4 linked regions of the Sus scrofa genome follow. The protein of the gene in region 2 interacts with the protein of the main gene of each other region in a pairwise test. Links are inferred from orthologs where the notes say so. Each region holds a gene or a part of one and is shown on either strand. Other genes may lie near its edges.

What was found.
Region 1: the proteins of TNIK (region 2) and PPM1E interact in a two-hybrid assay, tested with the Homo sapiens proteins (2 studies listed by BioGRID and IntAct). The link is inferred for Sus scrofa from reciprocal best matches to the Homo sapiens genes TNIK and PPM1E.
Region 3: the proteins of TNIK (region 2) and NEFM interact in a two-hybrid assay, tested with the Homo sapiens proteins (2 studies listed by BioGRID and IntAct). The link is inferred for Sus scrofa from reciprocal best matches to the Homo sapiens genes TNIK and NEFM.
Region 4: the proteins of TNIK (region 2) and DPYSL2 interact in a two-hybrid assay, tested with the Homo sapiens proteins (2 studies listed by BioGRID and IntAct). The link is inferred for Sus scrofa from reciprocal best matches to the Homo sapiens genes TNIK and DPYSL2.

The regions. Positions count from the first base shown.
Region 1 is NC_010454.4:35,254,169-35,258,020, reverse strand, and holds part of PPM1E (protein phosphatase 1E), read right to left. Parts: intron 472-3,852; coding exon 1-471. UniProt on the Homo sapiens protein: Protein phosphatase that inactivates multifunctional CaM kinases such as CAMK4 and CAMK2. Dephosphorylates and inactivates PAK. May play a role in the inhibition of actin fiber stress breakdown and in morphological changes driven by TNK2/CDC42.
Region 2 is NC_010455.5:109,660,505-109,664,356, reverse strand, and holds part of TNIK (TRAF2 and NCK-interacting protein kinase), read left to right. Parts: coding exon 1-144; intron 145-1,776; coding exon 1,777-1,920; intron 1,921-3,852. UniProt on the Homo sapiens protein: Serine/threonine kinase that acts as an essential activator of the Wnt signaling pathway. Recruited to promoters of Wnt target genes and required to activate their expression. May act by phosphorylating TCF4/TCF7L2.
Region 3 is NC_010456.5:8,961,579-8,965,430, reverse strand, and holds part of NEFM (neurofilament medium polypeptide), read right to left. Parts: 5' UTR 3,469-3,852; coding exon 2,389-3,468; intron 1,653-2,388; coding exon 1,528-1,652; intron 310-1,527; coding exon 1-309. UniProt on the Homo sapiens protein: Neurofilaments usually contain three intermediate filament proteins: NEFL, NEFM, and NEFH which are involved in the maintenance of neuronal caliber.
Region 4 is NC_010456.5:10,532,831-10,536,682, reverse strand, and holds part of DPYSL2 (dihydropyrimidinase-related protein 2), read right to left. Parts: intron 1,874-3,852; coding exon 1,703-1,873; intron 1-1,702.

The sequences.
Region 1 (3,852 bases), on a different chromosome or scaffold from region 2:
TTTGGGACCCTGGGCTCAGGCTAGTTCTATCAGTGAATGAATCCACGCGCCCATCATAGCCTAGATCGGCTGGTGCTGAACACTGGTGCTGAGGCCAAGGGCGTTTGCACTCTCCATGATTCTCCTTATCATCCCCACCATCTTCTTGCCCTCCTTGAAAAGAGTTCTCTGTCCAATCTGATTCCTCACTAACATTTACAGCTTTGTTCATGTCCCTCAGGAATACCACAATAACAGTGATGTTATCACTTGACCCAGCATCACGAGCTGATGCCACTAATTTGTGGGCAACCATGCTGCTGTCTCCATTATTCTCCTTCAAGTGGTCAGACACAACTTTCACTGCCTCATCAGGGTTCACGGTATCATAGAAGCCATCACAGGCCAGAATGAGGTAGTCTTCAGTTCCATCCAGAACAGTAGAAGCAGAATCTGCATCCCCACAGATATATGGCTTATGTTCAGCATCTCCTGTGAGAATTATAAAATAGGTCAGATGTAGGGTTATTTTGCATTAAGAATGTTTATGGCCAGCTCAAATGTCCTAGGCAAAGAAGGGCCTTTTAGTTGAAGGGAAAATGTCAGCAAAAACTCAGAGGCAACTGTTAGGAAGTAATTTGTAGTTGAATATTGAGTGCTTGGAGTGGCAGTACACTGGAGACCCTCGGGCCCAGCTACATACTGAGATAATTGATCATCTACAGTGCACTTTGGAACTTTCAGATCTAAACCACTTCCAGATCCACTGGTTGTTTACATTCACTGTTTTCTTAGTACCTGGAGAAAACCTTAGCAAAAGGATCCTACTCCTACTGAGTAACCTTTTACTGCTACAGTGGATATTCATTGAGTTCTTTACATTAAAAAAAAAAGGATGTTTCTGGATTAGGGTATCATAATTCATGCATACACAGTAGTTTAAAAAGATTTTTACAAGGTGCTTTAACATTCTTGAAGTAGTCATAGCTTTAGTGGTTAATGATGTGAGCAATGGAGTCACACTGCCTGGCTCTAGATTGCAGTACTTGTTACTTACAAACTCTCCTCAATTACTACCCTTTTTATTGTATTAAAACTGAACTTTTTGACTAGGGGAAGATGAAATGAACATAAGTATACTTAAATGATGTGGCCATGTTATCACTGTTTCTGGTATCTGTTATAGGTTCTACTAGGTAAGGTTCTCTCCAGCACTTTACATCCCTGTTTAATCCTCAAATAGGCCCTCTGCTTGAACCACTGTGGGCCATATGCCCTATCCAGCAGGTTGCATGATGGGATTCCCTGAACAGCAGTTACTTAATATTTAATTACCTGGGTTAGTTTATCTATAAGGTAGAAAACCAGTCTTTTTTTTGGGGGGGGGGCACACTGTGGCATATGGAGGTTCCCAGGCTAGGGGGTGAATTGGAGCTCTAGCCGCTGGCTTTTGCCACAGCCACAGCCACACAGGATCCAAGCCATGTCTGCAACCTATACCACAGCTCACAGTGATGCTGGATCCTTAACCCACAGAGCGAGGCCAGGGATCGAACCCGCATCCTCATGGATCCTAGTCAGGTTCGTTAACCACTGAGCCATGAAGGGAACTCCCGGAAACTAGTCTTTTTCATGTATTAGCCAGAACCACCTTCCTCAAGTAAGGGTTTTTGATTTCATCAACTTCACTTCTATACCATGACACCTCCCAATAGCCTATTAGAGCTAATTATAACAATCATGGGGATTGAGTGTATTCCACCAATCCACTTTACTGAATTTCTCATCCCTTATTCCACCTGACTGTATTATTATCATCATTATTTTCTGAATTCCAGCTCTAAAAATAAATGTGATCTGAGTCATACTGTTCCCAAAAACCTTGTTTTAGTGTTTCAATTAAAAGGCTACTGCAACTGTTAGTTTGGAACAGAACATACAAAGATTTTCATAGAGAAAATGCTGCCAAAATTCTGGCTTTTCACCTGCTCTACTGTTGGATGTCAAATTCATGACATTTCACCCCCAAATTTGGTAGGAGGGCATGATTATCCATTTCATAGTAGAAAAAGCAATATCCTTTTGTCTTCAATCTCCTTGCTCCATATGCTAGAAACATCATGTCACTGTCAGCTTTGGATCATAAATCTGGAGGGCTCATGGGGGGAAAACTGTTGAAAAGTTTTTTATTTTTAAAGTGTTAAGTGTCATTTCTAAGTAGAGTTGAACTCTGCTCAGGAGTCCTTTTTCTTGTCCCTATTTAGTCTCCTATTTAGTCCCCTATTTTATTCCATGAGCTTTCCAAATATTTATCACATTTTTCAATTCCTTCCAATGAAGTTATTGGTTGATAGTAGATAGCCTACTTTCCTACTGCAAAGAAAATTAAAATTATCAGGCCTGAATTCCCTCAATTCCTACCCACCCCCCTGATTTAAAAAAAAAAAACAAAAAACAAAAACAAAAAAAAACTTAAGTGAATCACCTGTATCCACAACTATTTTCTCAGAGCAAGATGTGCTCTTTTCCTTCTGAAAGCTAACCTGTGCTGCTGAACCTAGCCCTCTAGGGCTCTGGCTTCTCTGTCATCTTCAATTTATCTTCCACTTGCTTTCTTTTTCAATCCTAAAAACATGCTCATATCTAAAATCTCCTAAAAGCAAAAATAATAAAAAACAACCCTTTCCCAAATCAGCTTTTCCCTCGAGCTACATTATTTCCCTTCACCACCAAACTGCCCAGGAACCTAAATCTATACATGTTCCTTTGTTATTGCTCACTTTTCCTCACCGGAATGTTTTCTGGTTTTTCCATCTACTAGTCCTACATTCCTTTCAAATGTTACCAATTATTTTCCACTTTCAAAATTCTGTGACTTTTTTTTTAACCCAAATCTTACCTGACTTCTGCAGCACCTGACCCTGTTGACTACTTATTCCTAGAAACCCTCTTCCCCTAGCATCTGTGATACCCCATTTCTATGTCTCTGATCCATTCCTGACTTTCTTCACTGCCTCCTCCATTTAATAATAGCACCAAGGCAGGGTTCTAAGTGTGGTGCATGTATTATACCATTTAATACAAAAACACCCTGTGAGTTAGGTACTGTTACTACTCCTGCTTTACAAAGGAACAGATACAAAGAAGTCAATTTCCCAAGGCCCATAGCTGATAAAGTGGCAGAGCCAAGATGGGAATCCAGAAAGGACTTCATGTTATTCCACCGTAAGTAATGAGTCTCATCCTCGGTCTCTCTTCACACTACATATTCCCAGCAGTGTCATCCATGCTTATAGTTTCCATTTTTATATATACTTTATGTATCACTTTATATATATATATGTATACATGCCACTGCACAGGTTGCTAGTATTATTGCCAATGTGAGATGAATTCCCAAATCTCTACCTTCAACTCAGAACTCTCTGCTAAGCTCTAGATCTATATTTCCAACTGCTTGGAAATGATCTCTTCCAAGACATCCCACAGGTACCTAGACTATAAAACATGTCCAAAATGAACTCATTATCTGCCCTCCTCCCCACCCCCCAAACTGCTGCTGCTTTATTACCAGTGTTTTATCATCTTCTCAATCACACAGGTCAGAAACCTGGAAGTTAACTTTCCTCTTCCCCCATAAACTGTCATTTCTGTCTCATCAATTTTACTCTCTCCTCTGTATCCCTTTTTAGCTGTCCTTACCACTGTAACATTGTATCGACAGCCTCCTAAATGATCTCTCATCTGGGATTTCTACTCTAGGTCATCTAACATAATCATTATAATATTTATAAATACAAACCTGACCCATGTGCCCTCTGCTTAGTCACCTGGTAAAGTCCAGACTATCTAGCCTGGCATGTCAGCCCCTTT
Region 2 (3,852 bases):
AAGAACAGGCCAAACTAAATGAAGCAAGAAAGATTTCAGTGGTAAACGTAAACCCAACCAACATTCGGCCTCATAGCGACACGCCAGAAATCAGAAAATACAAGAAGCGATTCAACTCAGAAATACTTTGTGCAGCTCTGTGGGGTGAGTTGGTGCTTTTTACTGTTCATTAATGAATTGACCCTCAAACGTGAAAAGCCTATGGGTCTTAACCATCAGAAGGGTGCTGACTGAATTGGGTGTTAGACTTGGGATCATCTTGACCTCAGGAAAGTTCGAAAACAATATTATATGGAGAAAGAGCTAATACCCTAATTCCCAGGATAACAGAATGGGACTCGGAATGACCTTGTCATGTAATAGTGATGGACTAAAGCCAACAACAGGACTAGCTACCATTCAGTACCTACCCCTGTGTGCCCAGCTCTAGGTGATGTGCTCCACATTCTGTCTCCCTGATGCATACAACATTCTACAAGGGGATGTGACCCCTTGTAGAAGAAAAGCAGCCCAGAATCTATCAGTGAATTGTCAAAAGCCATACCAGTAAGAGTAGCAAGATAAAACCTGAAAAGGGCGACAAATGATGAGTCTTCCATTTTAGTTCAAAACATCAACCTGCAGTTCTTATAAAAAAGATCTGCAGGTTTGAGATGACCTCAGACTCAGGATAGGTGTGATGAGAGCCTATCAAAATCCTGGTCTGTGTTACCATAAACATCAAGAGAGGACATGGCCCATCTGTACCCACATATCACACTAGGCCTAGTTCAGGGCACCACCATTTTACAAGGGCAAACGCATTTGAGATGTTAGCAGGGCCGAGCATGAAACCTAGAAGCTATTTCATGGGAAATGTGGTCAAGCCTGTGGTTGAAACACTTGATGGTTGAAAGACATGTGTCATGGTTTCTATGAACATGTGGTTGAAAGAGCAGACCTTCATGTTACTTAGAAGAAAGTTGTACAATAAGCCAGAGAAGTTGGACATTTACCTGTTTGTGAATATAGGCCATTGTATAGTCGACCTCCCAGCATGTGTACACGTCTGTGTGTGTGGTGAGAGTGCACGGGGTGCTCATTTGCCTAAGGATGAATCTTCAGGATCGTAGCTATTCAGACAAGACCACTTACCTACCTACCGGAGTTTTTGTAACAGGAATTAACTGCATGGGAGGTGGACTGGTCTAGAATCACAGTCAGTATTTGCCTGACCCTCAGGCCCTTAACACCTTCACTTGAATTGGCTCATCATGTCCCCAGCAAAGGGTGTAGGACACAAATTAAGCCTTGGTGTGAGGAGGAGGGAGGGCTTTTCCTCCTGTAGGATATGGGAGGAGGGCATCTATGCCCAAGGTGGGTAGGCTGGAAATCACTGCATGAATAGGAGTGAGGTGAACCTTGGGGAAGTCTCGGGAGGATTTAAAGAGAGAGCCAAGAAAAGGGTGGGTGTTACAGGAAAGGAATCAAGGTAAACTGTGTCAGCTTCACAGCTGTGCCTCAGGCCCCTCTTGAGAAAAATTCTATTCTAGGTAGTACAGAGCTACCTGTAATGAACGCTGCTGCCACTTCATAAAAGAGAACTAATTTCGTTACCAGAGGGATGGTGATTTAATTACTGTCTCAGAGTTTCTACTTCTCCACTCCCTACTGTAGTGCCTGCTTGCCCGTTAGTTTATATTTGCAAGGGAGTTTCTTAGGTTTTTTACGGGGACCCTAGATGTAGAAGAGTAAAGCCCATAAGAGTCAGTCTTGGGGGGCTTCTTCAATTTGCAGGTGTAAATCTCCTGGTGGGAACCGAAAATGGCCTGATGCTTTTGGACCGAAGTGGGCAAGGCAAAGTTTATAATCTGATCAACCGGAGGCGGTTTCAGCAGATGGATGTGCTAGAGGGACTGAATGTCCTCGTGACAATATCAGGTACGTCGCTGGATGGCCGAGTCCTCCGGGTCTGCGCAGGTGGGAAAGGCAATCACCTTGCTTCTGAAGGAACAGCAAGCTCTGCCCTTCCCACGCAGCGAGCTGAATTACGGCAGCAGAGCCAGAGTGACATCACCCACGTTTTGTCACTCTAGAGGTTCTCACCTTCAAAGGGAAGTCTCTCACCTCTGCCTGAAATCTGAATCAGGACATAGCACAAAGGCTGTGCACTTAAGGGCCCGAATGCTCTGCCGGGACTCAGCAAGGATCTTTTTAAGGTGTCTACATGCTGGTCACTGCCATCTACTCTCAGATGCAAGTATAAAAAAGTAGGCTTCTGGGAGTGAGGAGTTTTGTAAGCAGAAATTTCTCTGGGCTCCTTTCTAGTTCACTGACACCTTGGTAAATGCAGCTGGCCCATTGAGTGATTGAGTCTGCAAGGTGATTTGAATGTAGGAATCATTATGGCTACACTGCAGCTTTCTGGTTCCCCAAAAGAGCTTCAAAAAAGATGGAGACAGAAGTGAAGGCTTTATTAATGACAAGTTAAAAATGTGACCTGAAGGAGTCCATGTTTACTGGAAGTTTTTTTTTGGGGGGGTGTGTGAAGGCATTTAATAAATAACAACCCTCTCTTCCCTTCCCCTCCCATCCCATCCAGTATGAAACTGACTGTCCCCCATGCATTAGAACCCCATGAGGAGATGTGCAAAATCCAGGATGTGCCTCAGACTAGCGGGTCAGAATCTCAGGGCCTGTGGTCCAGGTCTCAGAAGCTTTCATAGCACCTGAGGCATTTCCACTGTGCAGCCATGCCTGAGAACCAGCCATTGTTTCACAAAGAGAAACCGAGCTAAGGTGGGGTGGGGGGTGGCGGGGGGGGCAGTTCACCCCCTCTGTGCCAACACAGATCAGAGGGCAGTTCAAGAATCTTTGGCTCCTATTTCCGTTTTCCTCTTTCCCTACCAATGGAAAGAAGAACCTGGATCGAACCCTGAATAAAGTTTAACTCTACAGCTGCATTTCTGTTTTGAGAAAATGCCTTCATTTGCAGTTCCCTCTTTCTTTGACCTTTCCACTGAATACTCAGAGGTTTCATCTCTTTTTATTCTCCCCAAATAAAGGTGAACCCAGTAAATTCTTCTTGTCCTATCATTCGAGTTCAATTCAGTGTAGTCCTTTATCCTGGTTAATGCTTTCTTGATTGCTGCACTACCAATTCAAATATATCTGCCAGTCACCTACCAAAAGTGGAAATGATAGAAGAAAATTCATGGTTAGGCCTCATTGTGTTGTTAGTGACAGATCCCATTTTTAAAAGTATAACAGTTTCCTGCACGTTGGTAGGGAAAGAAGAAAATGGAAATAGGAGCCAAAGATTCTTGAACTGCCCTCTGATCTGTGTTGGCCCAGAGAGAAGGAAGCACCCCCACCCTCCTCCCACCCACCTTAGCTGTTGGGGTCCATGCATAATCAGTGCTTTCAGTTATAAAAGAATAGTAACTGCACAGGGGTTCCCTTAATTTAAGTTATAAACGTGCTCTCTTGTCAAATCCAGTGTGCAGTGCTTTAGTGAATCTGTTTTTCTGGTGTATATTACATCTGCAACTTATAAAACATGTTTTGATGCCTAAGAGAAATCAAAGGAAAATAAGGACCCAAGAAGTATACCCCACAGGCCTGAATTACTGATCACGTGGTAAAAGCCACCCCAAGGGACATGTTCTTATCTGGTATTTGTACAATCTTAGATCGTATATTAAGTTTTTCTCCTTACTTACTCCTTAATGTTTTTAAGATGTTTTCATATCATACTAAGAATTCTTTTCTTCCTTTTTTTTTTGTTTTTGTTTTTGTTTTTGCTTTTTCTTTTTAAGGCCTCACCTGTGGCATATGGAGGTTCCCAGGCTAGGGGTCCAAGCAGAGCTGCAG
Region 3 (3,852 bases), on a different chromosome or scaffold from region 2:
TCTTCAGCTTCTTGTTTCTCTTCCTTTTCTTCAGCCTCTTCTTCCTTGACCTCCTCTTTCATGGAAACTGCCAATTCCTCCGCAATGGCAGTCAGGGCTTCTTCCATTTCTGATTTCTCATCCTCCACCTTGGTTTCCTCTATGATCTCCTCAACAAATTTGTGTTGGACCTTTAGCTTGGGAGCCTCCACCTTGGTTTTCTGAATCTTACTGGATATTGTGATGGAGGGCTGTCGGTGTGTATACAGAGGCCCAGTGATGCTTCCTGCAAATGTGCTAAATCTGGTCTCTTCACCCTCCAGAAGTTTCCTGAGGAGGTAATTGAAGAAGACAAGGCATAATTAAAATCTCACCAGGCTTTTTGAACTTCATTACATTTTGGCTAATGTGGTAGGTACCTTTGAATAAAGAGAATCACAAGAAGTAATACCTGCTATCATTTCACTGTCATAGTCAATGACAGAGACAGATCTCAGGGACAATCAGCCAATCACTCAATGCAATAACTAACCATGCCCAATAGTTTACTACCTTCACCCAGCTATCAAATCTCAGCTCTGCCGAAGCCCATTTGGTACAAGACAATATTCTGAAGAGCTCTGTAGGGGCCGAAAAAACTTTTAAGTGACCTTCTTGAGTATTTGGATTTTCAGATATCTACTAAATGTCTTTTAGCAAATATAATACTCAAAAGTTTTACAAAGCTATTTAGCATATATCAGAATTCAGGCTATATATATATATATATATATATATATATATATATATCATATCTAAGTGCTAATATGTGTATCAAGTTATAAATTGGCCTGTAATTTTAATCATAAAATTTGTCAGCCTGTAATTTGTCAGCCTTCCTGAAAATATAGATGGTTCTTAGTTGAGTGCAATTTATTCTTGTAATATTACTGACTTTATTGGTAGTTTGAAAAAAACTGTTTAGTGAAGGATTTTCAACTATGAACTTAGTCAATGGTAAGGTGACATCAATGAATAGATTTAATAGATTTAACAGTTAATAGATTTCTAATCTTTCTATCTCTGGATATATATTTAGATCTATAAATCTAAATCTAAATGAAAAACATATATTCTATCAATCTACATTCCTTCTCAGCCAGATGATGGCAACAGCAAGCTGTCACAGAGAAACAGAAATGGAATGTCCTGATGTTTGTCCTTGACATGATAAAGTTGAAAAGCTGAAAGCGCTAGATGAAATATTAAAAACTAAAATTGTTTTTATTTCAAATATTCAGAGAACATTTTAGCTAAAATAAGCAAAAGTTTAAGCACTGAAATTAATAAGTGCCCTCCCTCAAAACACTTTATTTTAACTAATGTTTACTCTTTTAAAGCTGCATAAAAAGTTGCAATTCTTTAGAGAAATTACTTTTTAATTAAGAAAGAAAACCCGGCACTGATTTAAGATTCCTGAAGCCTGATTGCTTTAACTTAAGTGGTGCAGGTTCTGTCCAGCCTCTGCAGTACGGTTAGTATTTTGCCAGTCCACAGTGAGCATGGTACCTGTACGCAGCAATCTCGATATCCAAAGCCATCTTGACGTTGAGGAGATCCTGGTATTCTCGCAAATGACGAGCCATTTCCCACTTTGTGCCCCGAAGCTCATTTTCCAACTGCTGGATGGTGTCCTGAAACAGACACAGCCACAGACTCATCCTTCCAAATGGCCGCTTCTTTGGCAAAACACTTGCTACTCCCTCCTTCTCCGCCCCCCCCCCCACCTCCCTTAACTCCCTCCTGCTTGGCCAACCTCTCATACCGCCCCCAGACCACCCCTCTTAAAATAAAAACCTCAGGAATTCACAAACAAACAACAAACAGGATCAATAAGACAACTAGACATTTCCTGGGCACATCACGCACTGGGACCAGCGGATCTAGAACACGTCTCAGCAGGAAACAAACATGCATGGGGAAACCCCACGGCTGACCTGGCCCTTCCCATCTGAGCCCTTTGGGCTGAAGCCAATTGGGGGAGTTCTTCCGATCACGGCTGGAAAAGTTGAGAATATATGAGTTTCTGCACAGCTATCCTAAAGTTGCTGCTTTATCAACTACTCAAATGTATACCTCCTACTTTAAATGCGCAAGCGTGCAAAACTAGAACTCCCGAGGAAAAGAAGCGCGTTTTGAAAAAGGTCAGGGCTCTCAGAGCTAGGGATGGTGCGTTGGGGAGGGGGGTGAAAGGGATGGGGAGGGGCGAGGACGCTTTGAGCCTCTAACTTGGGTCTGCGTCGCGCGCGCGCGCACTGGACAGCGGCCACTAGGGAGCGCGGCAGAGAGAGCGGCGGGGCGCGGGCCTGAGTGTCGGGGGCGCGCGGCGCTGGCGCTGGCGCAGGCTGGCCGCGCAGCCGCGGTTCTTACCTGGTAGCTGCTAAGGTCGTGGTTGTGGCGCTCCTCGATGTCGCTGAGCTGTCGCTCCAGGGACTCCTTGGTGCCTCGAACTGACTCGAGCTCGATGCTCTTGGACTGCAGCTGGCGCCGGTACTCGGCGATCTCTTCCTTGGCGGAGCGGATGGCCTCCTTGTTCTGCTCGGCAGCCTCGGTGAGCTTGGCGTAGCGGCATTTAAACCACTCTTCGGCCTGGTGCATGTTTTGGTCGGAGTGGCACTCGAGTTGGGAGCGGATCTCTTTCAGCGCCGACGAGATGTCAGTCTTCAGGTAATCTTTGCGCTCCACCGTGATGTGCGACGCCTGGATCTGAGCCAGCAGGTCGGCCACCTCCTCTTCGTGATTGCTCCGCAAGAAGGCCACCTCATCCTGCAGCGACTGCACTTTCTTGTCCAGCTCCACCTTGACCAGCGACGCCTCCTCGATGTCTTTGCGCAGCGCGCGGATGGCCGCCTCGGTGTCGTCGCGCAGCCGTGCCTCCTCCTCGAAGCGCTCCTTGAGTCGGTGGATGTCTTCTTCCAGGTGGTCCGAGTCCAGCTGTACCTGAGCCTTCTCGTGGTTCACCAGCTCGAGTGTGGCGCGCAGCTCACGGATCTCCTGGTCATACGCGTCGCCCAGCTGGGCGTGCGAGGCCTGCTTCTGCCGCAGCGCCTGGATCTCCGCCTCGATCTCCTTGTTCTGCTGCTCCAGGTAGTGCACCTTCTCGATGTAGCCCGCGAAGCGGTCGTTCAGCCCCTGCAGCTGCTCCTTCTCGTTGGAGCGGGACAGCTTGTAGTCGCCGCCCGGCCCGGAACCGCCGTTGAGCAGGGAGGAGGACTGGCTGAAGTCGAGGCTGCTCTCGGCGGAGCTGAGCATGGCCGAGCTGTAGGTGAGGCGCGGGGCTAGAGCGCTGCGCTTGTAGGAGGAGGACACTGTGCTGGGCGAGCCTCGGGACCACGACTGCGAGCGGAAGCCGCTGGAAGGGGAGCCGCTAACGCGGCTGAAGCTCGAGCGGGTCTCGGTTCCCCGCCGGTAGGCGGACGGGTTGCCCAGCGAGTCCAGTGTGTAGCTCATCTTGGAGGCCTCGGGGCGTGTGGCTGTCACAGCGTTCTGCTGGCCTCGCCGCAGCCCATTTATAGCCGCGGCGGCTGGTCCCGGGCCAGGGCCCCGCCCCGTGGAGGCGGCGGCCGAGGAGGCGGGGACTGCGGGCACCGGGCCGGGGGATGGGGGGTGAAGACAGCCCAGCAGTGATTCAGCGCCGGCTCCACGTGGGCCCACGCCGCCCGGGACCCCGGACTTTGATGCCTTGGCCCCGGCCCCTCCCCCTAGCTCTTCTTTGGGTCCCAGACCACCTGTCTCCCCTCAACCCCTCCCCCTCTATTTCTTTTCACCTTCGGATTGCATTTTATGCCCTTGGTGCGAGTATTCACCCAACGGCCTTTCTTTGTTTAGTCACTT
Region 4 (3,852 bases), on a different chromosome or scaffold from region 2:
TCCGGACCCCTGAGAGGTTGTGAACGAAGTCACACATCAGTGTGGCTGTAAGGCTCTGCTGCAAAGCTCAGCCAGTCAGTGAGGAAGAATGAAAAAGTCAACTCTTCATACTGAGAGCTGAGCATCCTTCTCTGAAGTTACCCTCCATCTCTGCACCACAGGTACCAGTGCAGCCCAAACACCTCTAAATGGCAAAGGGGACCAGGATTCGGCCAAGGGCCCAGCGCTGTCCTGGAGCAATGCCAGACACCTTCCCAGCCCCCGGAGCTGTCGCAGCCCTTGGAGGAGGTGTCAGCACTTGCTGGCCCAGGCCACCTGGGGCGGGCAATCTAGAATCAGATGCCCTGTTAAGCCAGCTTTCAATTTAGAACTTGATCTAGAACAGCCTCTTCATTCACTAAGATGTCCTGCTGAAAAGCACAGGGAACTGTATCTAATCACTTGTGATAGAGCATGATGTAAAATATGAGAAAAGCAATGTATATATGTATAACTGGGTCACTTTGCTGTACAGTAGAAATTGACAGAACATTAAAAATCAACTGTAATAAAATTTTTTTTTTAAAAAAGAATTCACTGGAGTCCCATTGTGGCGCAGTGGTTAATGAATCTGACGAGGAACCATAAGGTTGCAGGTTGGATCCCTGGCCTTGTTCAGGGTTAAGGATCAGGCGTTGCCGTGAGCTGTTGTGTAGGTCACAGATGTGGCTCAGATCCTGCATTGCTGCGGCTCTGGCGTAGGCCAGTGGCTACAGCTCCAACTAGACCCCTAGCCTGGGAACCTCCATATGCCACAGGACGCGGCCCTAAAAAAGGAAAAAAAAAAAAAAAAGATTTGTATGGGTTTCTGACATAAAACATATAAAACCTATGTCCATTTCTTTTCCAGAGCTTGCCCTTTATCCATGTCCTTTCAATACCACACACACACACAATTTTTTCTATGAAGAACCAATGCTAACTAACACTTCTACCTAATTCTCCCTGACCTCACAGAATCACAGAACACGCAGGAGCCTCATCTAAACCCCTCATTCTCAGCCGACAAGCCCAAGACATGACACGAAGTCCCTTGCCCAGGGTCCCATTTACAAGACAGGGTCTTCCCAAGCATGCAGTCTAGACAGAGAAACAAGAGATACCCCAGAACTGCAGACCCTAAAAGCCTGATGAGAACAGCTGCCACAGTACTGATTCTATGTGGGGGAAAGTCAAAGTCAATTCATTCCTTTAGGACATAAGACCATCTGCCTTTTAGGCTTCCGGGCACAACCCTGACATGAGAAAACAGTGGCTTCAAAGAATAAGAATGCCAGTGGGCTTCTGGGGAGTGGACATCTGAATGTTTTATTTGGATCTCTTGGTGCTGCATCAAACTATTAAAATGGAATGCTGTCTGACTTCCAGAAGCTTCTGATGGCCAGGCATGACAGCCAGAGACTCTAAAGGTCCATAGATAGAGATGTCTATGCAAAGAGATGCTACCATACTCCAAAGTGAGGAAGAGATTAACAGTCTCACTGACCTCACTAAAGAAAAGGAAAGCTGTTTTTCTTAGCAACGTGCAAGTTATCACATCTCCTGGGGGAAAGTTCACTCCTATCACAGAGTTCTTTTTGTAAATCCAGGGGAATTGCCCCACCTGTCACTTTCTGTGACTGTAATTCATTTGGGTTGGGTCCACGAAGTGACCAGGGCTTACGCTATTATGGGTCTTGGCAGAGATGGTTTTCACGCTGTCCGGGTCCCAGATGACCAAGTCGGCATCGGATCCTACAGCGATGCGGCCTTTCCGGGGGTACAGGTTGAAGACTTTGGCTGCGTTGGTGCTGGTCACAGCCACAAACTGGTTCTCATCCATCTTCCCAGTGACCTGAGGAGGACAATCACACACACACACACCCCAAAAGCAGGTTAAAAAGTTGAAATGTTTTAGCAATAAAAAGGAACACATATCTGATACACATGGCAACGTGGATATTAGGGGGCACTGTGCTAAATGAAAAAGGCAACCTCCAAAGGTCACCAACTGTATGATTTCATTTCTATCACATCTTCAAAATAATCAAGTGACAGAGCTGGACGACAGACAGATCGGGGTGAGATGGAGATCCCTCCAGGGGTTAGGGGCAGGTGTGACGATAAAAGGGCAGCAGGAAGGGGATCTCTGAGGTGACAGAGGACATCTGTGTCCTAATTGCACTGATGATGGCATGAATCTACCTATGACAAAATGATACAGAACTATACACACATCACTGCACTGCTGGTCTTGGGTGTGGATATCACGATGATTATGTAAATGAAATGACAGGGGAAACCGGATGAAGGACAGACAGGACTCCTCTGCTCTGTCTTTGCACATTCCGCCCAATCTATAATTACTTCAAAGTAAAAAGGTTTTAAGGAGCTCCCACCGTGGCGCAGCAGAAACGAATCCTCCTAGGAACCATGAGGTTGCGGATTCGATCCCTGGCCTCGTTCAGTGGGTTAAGGATCAAGCGTTGCTGTGAGCTTCGGTGTAGATCACAGATGCGGCTTGGATCTGGCGTTGCTGTGGCTGTGGTGTAGGCCTGTGGCAACAGCTCCGATCAGACCCCTAGCCTGGGAACCTCCATATGCCTCAGGTACGGCCCTAGAAAAGACAAAACAAACAAACAAACAAACAAACAAAAGAAAACAGAAAGAAAAGCTTTTAAAAAATTGAAGGGGCTGCAATGCCTTTTCAGGAAACATCCCTTGGCTGGAACAGCTGTCCCTTTCAAAGACACAGATGCAGACCTTAGATCTATCCAATGAAAGCATGTCTGTCAGCCTCTGGCCCCTGTAGCTTATCCTGGATACCAATCACTTTCCCCATGTCCTGCCCCACACTGTCTCATCTCCACCACTTATGCTCCACGTCCCTTTAAAATGCAGGATCTGCCGCATTACCATGAGCTGTGGCGTAGGTCACAGATTCAGCTCGGATCTGGCATTGCTGTGGCTATGGTGTATGGTGGCTATGGCTCCAATTTGAACCCTAGCCTGGGAACCTCCATATGCCACAGGTGTGGCCCTAAAAAGATAAATAAATAAATAAATGCAGGATCTGAGGAGATAAATGCATCTCTCCGAGTTAGGAAACCTGCTCTAAATCCAATAGAAAAGTGGGCAAAGGAAATAAGCAGGTAGCAGAAAGGAGAAAAAAATACAAATGACCAAAAGCAATAAAAGAAATACTTGCTCTCATGAAAAATTGAGAAGAAATGTAAAACAGTGAGACACAAAATTCACAATCCAATCGGTGATACTTTCAGAGGGGGGTTGTTATGTTTTGTTTTGTTGTTTTTGGCCAGGCCCACAGCCTGTGGAAGTTTCTCGGCCAAGGATCAAACACAGGGCACAGCAGTGATCTGGGCTGCTGCGGTGACAACACTGGCTACTTAACCCACTGTGGAACTCCCTGGGTTTTCTTGATAATAACACCAATTCAGACCTGGTGGAAGTAACTGGAAATACCTTTATACTGTAGGCAGCATACAAATTGGTGCACTCTTTCTAGAGGGAACTCTGACAATATATATCAAAAGCCTTAAAAATATGCACACCTTTGACCCAGTAATACCACTTCTAGAAATTTCTCCTTCTAGCGTCATTAAAGATGTGTCTAAGGAGGTATCTATAAGGATGTTCATCCCAGTAAGAAAATCAAAAACAAAATAAAGGGTCAACCAAAGAATTACAGATGAATTACACCTCAGCATTAAGATGGAATGGTCTGCTATTAAAAACCAAGTTTTTCAAGTATGATTAAGGATACGTAGACTTCTTCATGAAATACATTTTTTAAAAGATCAGCCGGCTATGGAG